3 linked regions of the Saccharomyces cerevisiae S288C genome follow. The protein of the gene in region 1 binds, or shares a complex with, the protein of each later gene. Each region holds a gene or a part of one and is shown in the gene's direction. Other genes may lie near its edges. The genes, in order: TFB3, KIN28 and CCL1.

What was found.
Region 2: the proteins of TFB3 (region 1) and KIN28 are in contact, whole or in part, in a cryo-EM structure (PDB 6XI8), measured with the Saccharomyces cerevisiae proteins. Residues at the interface, in NP_010748.3 of Saccharomyces cerevisiae: Phe260 (codon at 2,789), Asn261 (codon at 2,792), Gly262 (codon at 2,795), Asp263 (codon at 2,798), Glu265 (codon at 2,804), Ala266 (codon at 2,807), His267 (codon at 2,810), Ile282 (codon at 2,855), Leu285 (codon at 2,864), Lys289 (codon at 2,876), Glu290 (codon at 2,879), Phe291 (codon at 2,882), Ile292 (codon at 2,885), Ala293 (codon at 2,888), Ser294 (codon at 2,891), Gly295 (codon at 2,894), Phe296 (codon at 2,897), Asn297 (codon at 2,900), Tyr300 (codon at 2,909), Glu303 (codon at 2,918), Arg304 (codon at 2,921), Thr307 (codon at 2,930), Glu308 (codon at 2,933); in NP_010175.1 of Saccharomyces cerevisiae: Leu111 (codon at 2,220), Arg115 (codon at 2,232), Tyr118 (codon at 2,241), Arg122 (codon at 2,253), Phe124 (codon at 2,259), Ile154 (codon at 2,349), Pro155 (codon at 2,352), Ala156 (codon at 2,355), Pro157 (codon at 2,358), His158 (codon at 2,361), Ala179 (codon at 2,424), His181 (codon at 2,430), Tyr182 (codon at 2,433), Thr183 (codon at 2,436), Ser184 (codon at 2,439), Trp229 (codon at 2,574), Glu231 (codon at 2,580), Ser234 (codon at 2,589), Phe235 (codon at 2,592), Pro275 (codon at 2,712), Gln276 (codon at 2,715), Val282 (codon at 2,733), Leu285 (codon at 2,742), Phe290 (codon at 2,757), Lys291 (codon at 2,760).
Region 3: the proteins of TFB3 (region 1) and CCL1 are in contact, whole or in part, in a cryo-EM structure (PDB 6XI8), measured with the Saccharomyces cerevisiae proteins. Residues at the interface, in NP_010748.3 of Saccharomyces cerevisiae: Phe270 (codon at 2,819), Leu272 (codon at 2,825), Lys273 (codon at 2,828), Val276 (codon at 2,837), Tyr277 (codon at 2,840), Asn278 (codon at 2,843), Asp279 (codon at 2,846), Pro280 (codon at 2,849), Phe281 (codon at 2,852), Ile282 (codon at 2,855), Tyr302 (codon at 2,915), Arg304 (codon at 2,921), Val305 (codon at 2,924), Leu306 (codon at 2,927), Glu308 (codon at 2,933), Ala309 (codon at 2,936), Phe310 (codon at 2,939), Met311 (codon at 2,942), Gly312 (codon at 2,945), Leu313 (codon at 2,948), Gly314 (codon at 2,951), Cys315 (codon at 2,954), Val316 (codon at 2,957), Ser318 (codon at 2,963), Glu319 (codon at 2,966), Glu320 (codon at 2,969); in NP_015350.1 of Saccharomyces cerevisiae: Tyr49 (codon at 2,046), Arg50 (codon at 2,049), Tyr55 (codon at 2,064), Ser59 (codon at 2,076), Thr61 (codon at 2,082), Gln64 (codon at 2,091), Lys216 (codon at 2,547), Pro217 (codon at 2,550), His219 (codon at 2,556), Gly220 (codon at 2,559), Phe221 (codon at 2,562), Phe222 (codon at 2,565), Leu223 (codon at 2,568), Asp224 (codon at 2,571), Gln226 (codon at 2,577), Asn227 (codon at 2,580), Tyr230 (codon at 2,589), Met238 (codon at 2,613), Tyr242 (codon at 2,625), Phe260 (codon at 2,679), Tyr261 (codon at 2,682), Thr262 (codon at 2,685), Pro264 (codon at 2,691), Gln265 (codon at 2,694), Tyr282 (codon at 2,745), Ile327 (codon at 2,880), Leu332 (codon at 2,895), Ile335 (codon at 2,904).

What each region holds. Positions count from the first base shown.
Region 1 is NC_001136.10:1,381,800-1,385,383, forward strand, and holds TFB3 (TFIIH/NER complex subunit TFB3), read left to right. Parts: upstream 1-2,011; coding exon 2,012-2,977; downstream 2,978-3,584. Other genes in the region: HEH2 (Heh2p), read right to left, coding at 1-247; palmitoyltransferase PFA5, read right to left, coding at 520-1,644; MFA1 (mating pheromone a), read left to right, coding at 3,377-3,487. UniProt on the Saccharomyces cerevisiae protein: Acts as a component of the general transcription and DNA repair factor IIH (TFIIH or factor B), which is essential for both basal and activated transcription, and is involved in nucleotide excision repair (NER) of damaged DNA.
Region 2 is NC_001136.10:265,890-269,246, forward strand, and holds KIN28 (TFIIH complex serine/threonine-protein kinase subunit KIN28), read left to right. Parts: upstream 1-1,808; coding exon 1,809-1,836; intron 1,837-1,917; coding exon 1,918-2,810; downstream 2,811-3,357. Other genes in the region: YDL109C (putative lipase), read right to left, coding at 1-1,312; MSS2 (Mss2p), read left to right, coding at 3,032-3,357. UniProt on the Saccharomyces cerevisiae protein: Catalytic component of the TFIIK complex (KIN28-CCL1 dimer) which is the protein kinase component of transcription factor IIH (TFIIH) and phosphorylates the C-terminal domain of RNA polymerase II during transition from transcription to elongation after preinitiation complex (PIC) formation, thereby positively regulating transcription.
Region 3 is NC_001148.4:612,850-616,459, reverse strand, and holds CCL1 (TFIIH complex kinase subunit CCL1), read left to right. Parts: upstream 1-1,901; coding exon 1,902-3,083; downstream 3,084-3,610. Other genes in the region: alpha,alpha-trehalase ATH1, read right to left, coding at 1-1,081. UniProt on the Saccharomyces cerevisiae protein: Regulatory component of the TFIIK complex (KIN28-CCL1 dimer) which is the protein kinase component of transcription factor IIH (TFIIH) and phosphorylates the C-terminal domain of RNA polymerase II during transition from transcription to elongation after preinitiation complex (PIC) formation, thereby positively regulating transcription.

The sequences.
Region 1 (3,584 bases):
GCTTTTTACTCTTTAATGTCTTTTTGCGATCTGCGTTTTTTGCCCCAGACTTCACAACCTTTTGAATGCTAGTTCTAACCTTTGAGGCCTCAGGTGAAGATTGGAGACGTTGCCTCACTTTCTCCTCAAACAATTTCACCAAGACAGGCTTCCTAGCGTTGGCAGGGAACGCAACATCATTTTCTACCAAAACTCTTCTCAATTGGCTGACCTTCAGCGTTTTCGGATCAAGGTTTCTGTGATCCATTGTCGATTAGTGAAGATAGGAAACTTCCTTTTCTACTATTATGTCCGTTAAAGTTCATCCTACCGTTTCTTTGCTGTTAAAATCTCTCTTCTTTTTTATTTTTTTCAAACTTATCTCTTACTATTTATGGAAGGACGATCAAGAAAATGTATATACTATCCCTTCCCCTACGCATACAGAATATATTAAAATGAATAGATAATAGAAACATATACCGATTGTAACATGAGTTTCGTCCCAGAATATAAATTGCTTGAAAAATTTAATACTATTTAGTAAGCAGGATCACTATCGTCACCAGAAGCCCGCAATGTGGCCAGATATTCTCCTCTTGATATCTTGTCCTCAATGGCCTGAATGGTGTAGTCACTAAGAGTTTCTTCATAGGGACCCAATATTTCCACTAGCGTTGTTTTTGAACCGCTTTTGCCATCAGATTTGCATCGAGATGTATAGGGCTTGCCTAAAGGAATTATCCACATAAGTATGTTAGAACCCATAAAGTCTTTTATATTAGCTAAGATTGACTTTTTGTCCCAGAAAGAGTGAAATTCAGATCTATCGAACTCTACCACAAACCTCAACTTGTTTGCTTCCGAGTAATAACAAAATATCTTCCTTGTTCCAAATTTTTTCCTTTTGCTATCTATGATAGCCTCCAAAGACGTCTTGTTTTGACTCATGTAAAAAATACTCGATGCCAACAAACTTGCGGTTAATAACCATCCAAGGATGGCAAACACTAACGTTGAAATTATATTTGCGTTTAAATTGGGGCTATAATTATGATTGTGTTGAGTAATAATTCTTATGTAAACGCAAATAGACACCCACATGATAAGTAAAAGTGTTGAAAAATAAGCAGCAAACTGCACAAAGAGTCTATAATTGTCTCTACCAATAACAGTCCCTATCCACATGCAGTAATGATCAAAGCGAGGAATGCAGTGGCCTAGTTCTGAAGAATGATGCGTTCGTTCCATTTTCAGACTTTGACATTCACTGCACCATATTGGGTATCCGTGAGGATCAGACTGATAACACTTAGGCGGAACCACAGCATCGTATTCCACTGAAGTGTTTTGAGAAGTGTTGCTAGTCTTCTCTTCAGAGGCTATAGGAAGGATCAAAAAAGGTGCTACGTGCGGTTGGGTACCTGGACCGACCAAGATAACTATTTGAAGCCATATGAAAATCACGACTACGTCTAGGAAGCATACCGCACAAATAAGACCAACCGAAACTGATTTCTGACGAAGTCGTTTGTCGACTTGCTCGTAACATAGTTTATGGCAGTAAGCCCACGTACCGTAGCACAGTAAACCGAGCACGATAATCGGTAAGATGAATCTAAACCATGACCTGCGCCTGATTCGAATATTCCATGATAGAGCCATTCATATACAACGGTTTAATTTCTGCCGTGTCGCGATGAAAGGACCTTAGCTAGGTTCTGAAAATATTACAACGGGCAGATATACGCCTAATTAGTTGTTTTGTTTGAGTGCTGTGTTTATGCTACTATTATTTAAAACGTAAATAGTGGAAAAAAAAATCGACTAAATGGTCCAAATCGGGCCGTTCGCTCGTAAATTTGTTCTTAAGCACTAATACTAAAGAGAGTATACAACAGAACAGACGCACAAGACAGCACTCATCATCAGCTAAGAAACTGAACTGCTTGTTAAAATTTGAGTTTGTTTCCTCTTAGGATTTGCAGCATTAGTGGGCCCCCGCACACAAGTAAATATAAGTGAAAGAAAAATGCTTATGGATGAGTATGAGGAAAACAAGGACATGTGTCCGATCTGTAAGACAGATCGATACCTTTCTCCGGATGTGAAATTTTTGGTGAATCCTGAATGCTATCACAGGATCTGTGAGTCGTGTGTTGATCGAATATTTAGTCTCGGTCCTGCCCAGTGTCCATATAAAGGGTGTGACAAGATTCTTAGAAAGAATAAGTTCAAGACCCAAATATTCGATGATGTGGAAGTTGAGAAAGAAGTTGACATCAGGAAGAGAGTGTTCAATGTGTTCAACAAAACTATCGATGACTTCAATGGTGACCTTGTGGAATATAACAAATATTTGGAAGAGGTGGAAGACATTATATACAAACTAGATCACGGGATCGATGTGGCTAAGACCGAGGAGAAACTACGCACCTACGAGGAATTAAACAAGCAACTGATTATGAATAACTTGGAGAGAAGCAGAACAGAGATAGAAAGTTTCGAACAGAGACAAAAATTCGAAAAGGAGATGAAATTGAAGAAGCGACTGTTGGAAAGACAAATCGAAGAGGAGGAAAGAATGAACAAAGAGTGGACAAAGAAAGAAATCGTCAACCGGTTGAGTACGACCACCCAGGATATCAATGAAACAATCGAAGGCGTTAAAAATACGGTTAAATTGAAAAAATCGTCCGCTAGAAGGAAATTGGAAGAACTAAATAGAGTTCTGAAAAACAATCCATATTTCAATTCAAATGTGAACGTACAGAATTCGAGACTCAAAGATGCTGTACCGTTCACGCCGTTTAACGGTGATAGAGAAGCACACCCAAGGTTTACGTTGAAAGGTTCAGTATACAATGACCCATTCATCAAAGATCTTGAGCACAGGAAAGAATTTATTGCGTCTGGGTTCAACACTAATTATGCGTACGAAAGGGTGTTGACAGAGGCATTTATGGGCTTAGGATGTGTTATATCCGAGGAGCTTTAAAACATCAGGATAGTGTGCAACGTGGCATAAGCTATGTAATCAACTACTTTTTATTTTCTATGTACGCATATACATGCATTCACGATCTGTTTCAGTGTTCAGAAAAAAGGCACCTACTGCTACGGTTGGCCCATACCTTTATTCTTTGTTCTTGTTACAAACGAGTGTGTAATTACCCAAAAAGGAAATTTACATGTTAAATGAAACCCAGTAATCAGAAAAAACAGTTAAGAAACCTAAAATGGTAGAGATAAAGATACAGATTCAGTGGTTGCTGAAAATCAAGTAAAAAAATGAAATAGAGTCTTCATATATAAACCGCCAGAAATGAATTAATGAGAGGGATCTGTAACTGTTTCTCGGATAAAACCAAAATAAGTACAAAGCCATCGAATAGAAATGCAACCATCTACCGCTACCGCCGCTCCAAAAGAAAAGACCAGCAGTGAAAAGAAGGACAACTATATTATCAAAGGTGTCTTCTGGGACCCAGCATGTGTTATTGCTTAGTTTCTGCGTACAAAAACGTTGTTCTCCCTCCTTTATCTTCCTTTTCCGCTACACCAATATATCATGTTTGTTCGTAATATTTCTTTTTAGACCTAAT
Region 2 (3,357 bases), 1.1 Mb from region 1:
ACGATGCATTGATTCCATCATCATCATTAGCAACATCGCTATGATTTGGAAGTTCCCCAATAGGACTTACTTCAGGCTGGAAGAGAGGATCACAAGGTGCCGTAGTTTGACCTCCCAGTTTCTGAAGTAATTGAGAGTAGTCCAAAAAAAGTAAAGAAGAGGAGTACAAGGGAACTATTCCGTCGTTGACGGCATTAGCATAAAGTGTTCTTCTTTTGAATCGAGCAAGCACACTGATTAAGGATTCCTCGGATAGCAGGTAAAGTAGGGGCTTATCACCATAATTTCCATCCTTAAGACCCAGTTCTTGCCCCGTAGTACCAATGATACCCATCGACAATGACATTTTTACGTAATTGGGCGTGCTGGTAGCAATGCCTAGCAATGGTGACGCCAGTGAGATAAAATTGATTGGCTCCACTTTCTTAAAGAAATATGGATATTTGGTCTTTATGTAACAAATAGCAAAAGTTTGTGTTAATCCACCCAGGGAATGACCAATAAATGAAATTTTCCCAACAGAGTCATCATATAACTCGTCGATGATGTAGTTTGCCAATCCAACACCCAAAAACTTAATACCCTTCTCAGTCTCACAAGCATTCTTCATATATCCCTTAATAACTAGTCGCTCATTTGGATTGTTCATTTGAGCCTTGTATATTTCTTCCATTAAGTATTCCATATCTGCCGAAACGTTTGATTGAAAACCATGCGTGAGAATGACTAAATGGGATTTTTGCGACATGTCTATGGGTCGTGGTACTTTCCATATATCTGCGGTGGTAAGTCTATGCACCGATAATCCTGTGTGTAAAATATTGCAGGCTTTATCAGGCAATGAATCATTACATCGTATTTTTCTTTTCAAAGAGGCCTTTGAATTGCCGACTACTATCTCAAAAGTTACCTTAGTTTCTTTATTAAATAGTATTTGACTGACAATATCCACTATCCATACATAGCGTGGCTTAATGTGGTGCAAGGACAACTCTGCAATAAACTTTTGTTGTGCCTGTAGGTTTGATTGAAATACTGGTTTATCCGCCGAACATATGATCTTATACGAGCTTTCGTAATCTTTTGCTCGCACGTCACAATATAAGATAAATGGGCCCAATAGATAGGCTGGTTTATAGGATAGCTTTGTGGTATTTTTGATCTTTACCCATAGGGAATCCAGTGTGATATCAGCGGGAATACTATCACCCTGGTATAGCTCATATGTAATAACGTATCTTTCTAACTCACCTAACTTTACTGACGACTGATTGTGGTATAGCACTTCATCAGCACTCCTGCCAGCTTCCATATTACTACCGTTTCCCCGATGTTTTTGGGTGAATAAGGTCAGGTGAGCATTTTTTGTACTGATATTTTTTCTCTTTGTTTGCAGACACAACGCTTGCTGTTAATACGCTAAAAACATACCACACTACCTTGAACAAATCCTCCAAGAGAAATTTGTAAGAATTCAGAAGCGGTTTCAGGGGAAGTCGGCTTAGTTGTCAATTGTAATTGAAAATCACCCTCTAATTTGAAAGATTTTCAGTTTCAATAAGACATCAATCTTGCCAGTTTGTAATTTTTTGGTATATAGAAATGGTCTTCAAGCATAAGCCTTAAGAAAGATTCGTCCATTGGATGAACCTACAATTTTTTTTGTGTTATGATGTGAAGCTTCATTTGAAGCATTGTGCAGAGAATATTACAAGTAGATTCAAAAAACACATTGAAAAAAAATACAAGTGAAATCACAGTTACTTAAAAGTCATCAAAAAAAATATTCCCGGCCTCAGAGCGAACATATGAAAGTGAATATGGAGTACACAAAGGGTATGTGGGGGTTATATATTGTCGTCTTTCTTTTAACATTCAATAATGATACTAACGTTGATTAATGATGATTCATCGCAGAAAAGAAAGTTGGTGAGGGTACTTATGCGGTTGTTTACTTGGGTTGTCAACACTCTACTGGAAGAAAGATTGCTATTAAGGAGATCAAAACATCCGAATTTAAAGATGGTTTAGATATGTCAGCTATCCGTGAAGTTAAGTACCTCCAAGAAATGCAGCATCCGAACGTCATAGAACTAATAGACATATTTATGGCTTATGATAATTTAAATCTCGTTCTGGAGTTCCTACCAACTGATCTAGAGGTGGTAATAAAAGACAAATCAATACTGTTTACACCAGCAGATATTAAGGCATGGATGCTTATGACTTTGAGGGGCGTGTATCATTGCCACAGAAATTTCATTTTGCACAGGGATCTGAAACCAAACAATTTATTATTTTCACCTGATGGCCAGATAAAAGTAGCAGATTTCGGTCTAGCAAGGGCGATACCGGCCCCACATGAGATACTGACAAGTAACGTCGTAACAAGATGGTATAGAGCGCCAGAATTGTTGTTTGGAGCTAAACATTACACATCGGCTATTGATATCTGGTCAGTAGGCGTTATATTCGCGGAATTAATGCTAAGGATACCTTATTTACCAGGACAGAATGATGTCGATCAAATGGAAGTAACGTTCAGGGCCTTAGGGACACCTACAGATAGAGATTGGCCCGAAGTTTCTTCCTTTATGACGTATAACAAGTTACAAATATATCCGCCCCCTTCAAGAGATGAATTGAGGAAAAGGTTCATTGCTGCTAGCGAATACGCCTTAGATTTTATGTGTGGAATGCTAACGATGAACCCACAAAAGAGGTGGACCGCTGTTCAGTGTTTAGAAAGTGATTATTTCAAAGAATTACCACCACCAAGTGACCCGTCTTCAATAAAAATACGTAACTGATATGATTTTATAAAATTTGTAGAATCTGTGTTATTGACATTAGATGTATCCTCAACATATACAAATAAACTTCTTGATGCGTCTTGTTTTTTGGTGTTGAATTTTAACTCTTTTCCATCATTATGGAATTCGTTTTTAGATTTTAACAACAACAATATGAGGGGAGACAAACAGTAGCAGACGAAAACGAAAACAAAAGCAAGAAATATCTGATCTAAAATATGCAGAGGTTTGTCAGTAAGTTTGTTTCCACACCACCAGTACCCAAAAAGTTTCAAGAGATTTTCCCGAAGAAACGTACGGTTAACAAAATTTTATTCCAGTTAGATACAAGGCTTACATACCATGAAATGTACCCGATATTTCTGCAGGTATCACAAAATACTAATGAAGAGAATATCCCATGGAGGAAGAAATACCCCTATATAAGGAGTTCAGACATTATGCAGATGCGAAACGTCTTGATAACTCTAAGGACGCAGAACAAATTCGTCCACAAAGACTTATTAGCTATGGAGGATAAATTATTGAATATTGCTGCCGAACT
Region 3 (3,610 bases), on another chromosome or scaffold:
AAATAGCGCAATTAGAAGATGGAACGTTATCTGGCTGAACAATCATGAAAACCGCATTATTTTTTTCGTCTGTTCCCGTGCTATGTAGAACAGTCCTATGTGATGTGTTGAAATCAAGTATATCCCATATATTAACATCTAATGAATCAAAATCCGAAGGTAAATGGTCCGTATTCAGGGAAATTTCCAAAGAAACCACTCCCAGTGGATGAATGTGCCGATGTGCCCAGATTTCACTTTTAACATGTATTTGACTGTTTAGCCAATCTAACTCCGTAGTTACGATACCATCCTTCATTGATAAGTTTTGGCTATAATTAGTTACGTCATCCAACGTAACATTTTGTGGATTGAACCACTTAGAATCATTCACTAATGAGAACTGTAGATTGGTCCATTGTGGAATAGATGAAATGACAGTGGAATATCCTACATCATCCAATTCTGGGAAGTTTGTTGAATTTAGTTTTGGTTGTAGACAATAAAAGTCCGATACAAACGCACCGGCAAATCTATGATTTCTTAAGGGCCAACCGTTATTCAAAGCGCCTGGTGCGTCTGTGTAAAAATTCAGGGTGTCTAAGGCATAGCCGAACCCAATATTGGGAATACGACTACCTATATAACCGTTAGCAACATATGGTTGTCTCGAGTATGTATTCTTTGAGAACAAGTTACTTCCCAAAATCATGTTCTCATCATCATAATATGCCGTGTTGAAATCAGAAAGGAGTTCATAAAGTTTTTTAGAAGATTCCCTTGCTTCTGGATCGTAGTTCAACGTATGATTTCCCAATGACGGCGATATCACACCCAGAGGGTTAAATAGGGCAGCCCTCGAGGCATGTGAGTATGTAAGCCTGGAACTCTTTGTTAAATATAATGCAGTGACGAAGATAGCTAATAAAAATAGCATCATCAGTAAAAGTATAGAGTTGATCAAGTCAAACCTTGAGAAAGAACGATAATTTTTAGAGCGAGAGTTATTACCGGTACTATTTTTGTTCCTCAAACTAGGAGAATTGTTAAGGTTTGAATAAGAAGCCTCCGCATTGAACCAAAGCGATCTTATTCTTTTCATTATTGGAATGAGGAAATTTCGGTAAAAACAGATGCAATATTAGGTGATACTAGCAGGCTCTCATAAAGGACTGATGAATCCTTTTTTAAGGAGCAATAAGATTCTTTTTTTTTTTTTTTTTACTTGAAAAAAAGGGAGTGGTAATATGGTGAAAAGTGGAGAAATTTTGTTATTATTATTCAATAACGACAAGAATTCTCTTTCCGAATATAAAAACGGCGCGGCTGTTGGTTTGTCGTGATACGTAGTGCTTGCTTGGACTTGGAAGTAAGACTATACCAAAAAGGAAATAAATTTTGAGGGGCAAAGAAGAGATGCTTGTACTGCCTTGCTGACTCAGATTGTTCGTTGATTTTGCTCAACTTTCCGCTTGCTTAGAGTGAACGTGATAGCTTTACGGCTAGAATCAAGATGAATGTTCCTTTCTTTTTCCGAAGTATTTGCCCTTATTGAAAAAGAATGATAAGGGATATACGAATAGACTGGTAAATATTGTAGATACACTTGTTTTTAGTGAAGCGAGAATAACAAAGCTTCAGCTAGAGACGTGACGGCTGAGAGGTGACCTGAAAGAAAGTAGTTATTGCTGGCTTGAAGAGTGAAATAACCTTGGTACAGACTTTGATAGCACGAACTGTTTGCCATCCAGAGAAGAAAGGGCCTCTCATTTCCTGCGGTATCCCTTCGTTGTTTAAGCCGTTCACAATCCGGGTAATAAATTTGATCTTAACACAGTTTTTATATTAAGAAAGATCTCAAACAAATGAGTGAATATTAAGTTTAAGAGAGGAAAATACTGTGCTGCACAGATATTGATAGAATGACGGATATTCAACTAAATGGAAAGAGTACATTAGATACTCCTTCTGCTACCATGTCAGCAAAAGAAAAAGAGGCAAAATTAAAATCGGCTGATGAGAATAACAAGCCACCGAACTACAAAAGAATTTCTGACGATGATTTATATAGGCACTCTTCTCAGTATAGAATGTGGTCATACACTAAAGATCAACTTCAGGAGAAAAGGGTAGATACCAATGCCCGAGCGATTGCTTACATTGAGGAAAATTTATTAAAATTTAGAGAAGCACACAATTTAACAGAAGAAGAAATAAAAGTACTAGAAGCAAAGGCTATCCCTTTGACAATGGAAGAAGAACTCGATTTGGTGAATTTCTACGCAAAAAAAGTTCAGGTAATAGCACAGCATCTAAATTTGCCAACCGAAGTAGTGGCCACTGCGATATCCTTTTTTAGGCGTTTTTTCTTAGAAAATTCTGTTATGCAAATAGATCCTAAAAGTATTGTACATACTACTATCTTTCTAGCCTGCAAATCGGAGAACTATTTTATTAGCGTGGACTCGTTTGCTCAAAAGGCCAAATCTACTAGAGATAGTGTTCTCAAATTCGAGTTTAAGTTGTTAGAATCATTGAAATTTTCACTGTTGAACCATCATCCTTACAAACCGCTTCATGGGTTTTTCTTAGATATCCAGAACGTCCTTTATGGTAAGGTTGATTTAAATTACATGGGCCAAATATACGATAGGTGTAAGAAGAGAATAACTGCCGCATTATTAACCGATGTCGTATATTTCTACACTCCACCCCAAATAACACTAGCAACATTATTGATTGAGGATGAAGCCTTGGTCACAAGGTATTTAGAAACAAAATTTCCCAGCAGAGAAGGTAGCCAGGAATCAGTACCGGGAAACGAAAAAGAAGAACCACAAAATGATGCCAGTACAACTGAGAAAAACAAAGAGAAGTCCACAGAGAGCGAAGAATATTCGATAGACTCCGCGAAGTTACTAACCATAATACGCGAGTGTAAAAGTATTATTGAAGATTGTAAACCTCCGAGTACTGAAGAGGCCAAGAAAATTGCGGCAAAAAACTATTATTGTCAAAATCCATCAACACTGATTCAGAAATTAAAAAGGAAGTTGAATGGAGAAGATACTTCGTCCACCGTTGAGAAAAAGCAAAAAACATGAAACAGCTCTGTTACCGTAGGTTTCTGTTTTATATATATATATAGATTAAGATGCATAGGTATATAGACCGGCGCCATTTTATATTATTTCATGCCATGAATATATACTGCAAAAAATGTGACAATGAGTAAATTGCTAACTAGCGCTACAATGTGATTATTTTTGCTACACACGTTTATCCATTGAATATTCTATTTACAATGTATGGCGTATTGATACACATGTACCTATATATATCAACAAGTGCTTTTATCTTAACTTTTATGAAAGATTAATGATTGGTTTAATCATCAACGATACTCCGTTCCATGGTGTGACTTTTTTAAGGCTTGTCACTGGGGGAAAGCGACGGTTGGTTAAGGGATGAAAGAAATTAATAACCCACTTGCGATCATCGGTTATCCTGAAGTATTTTGTCGCAAATACCCAAGCTTAATGCCTCTTTTCTTATCACAGAAATAATATTATAATTTCTCCTTACGAATAATCTGAAGTTTCAAGCTGACCAGGAGAAGATGTAGATTCTG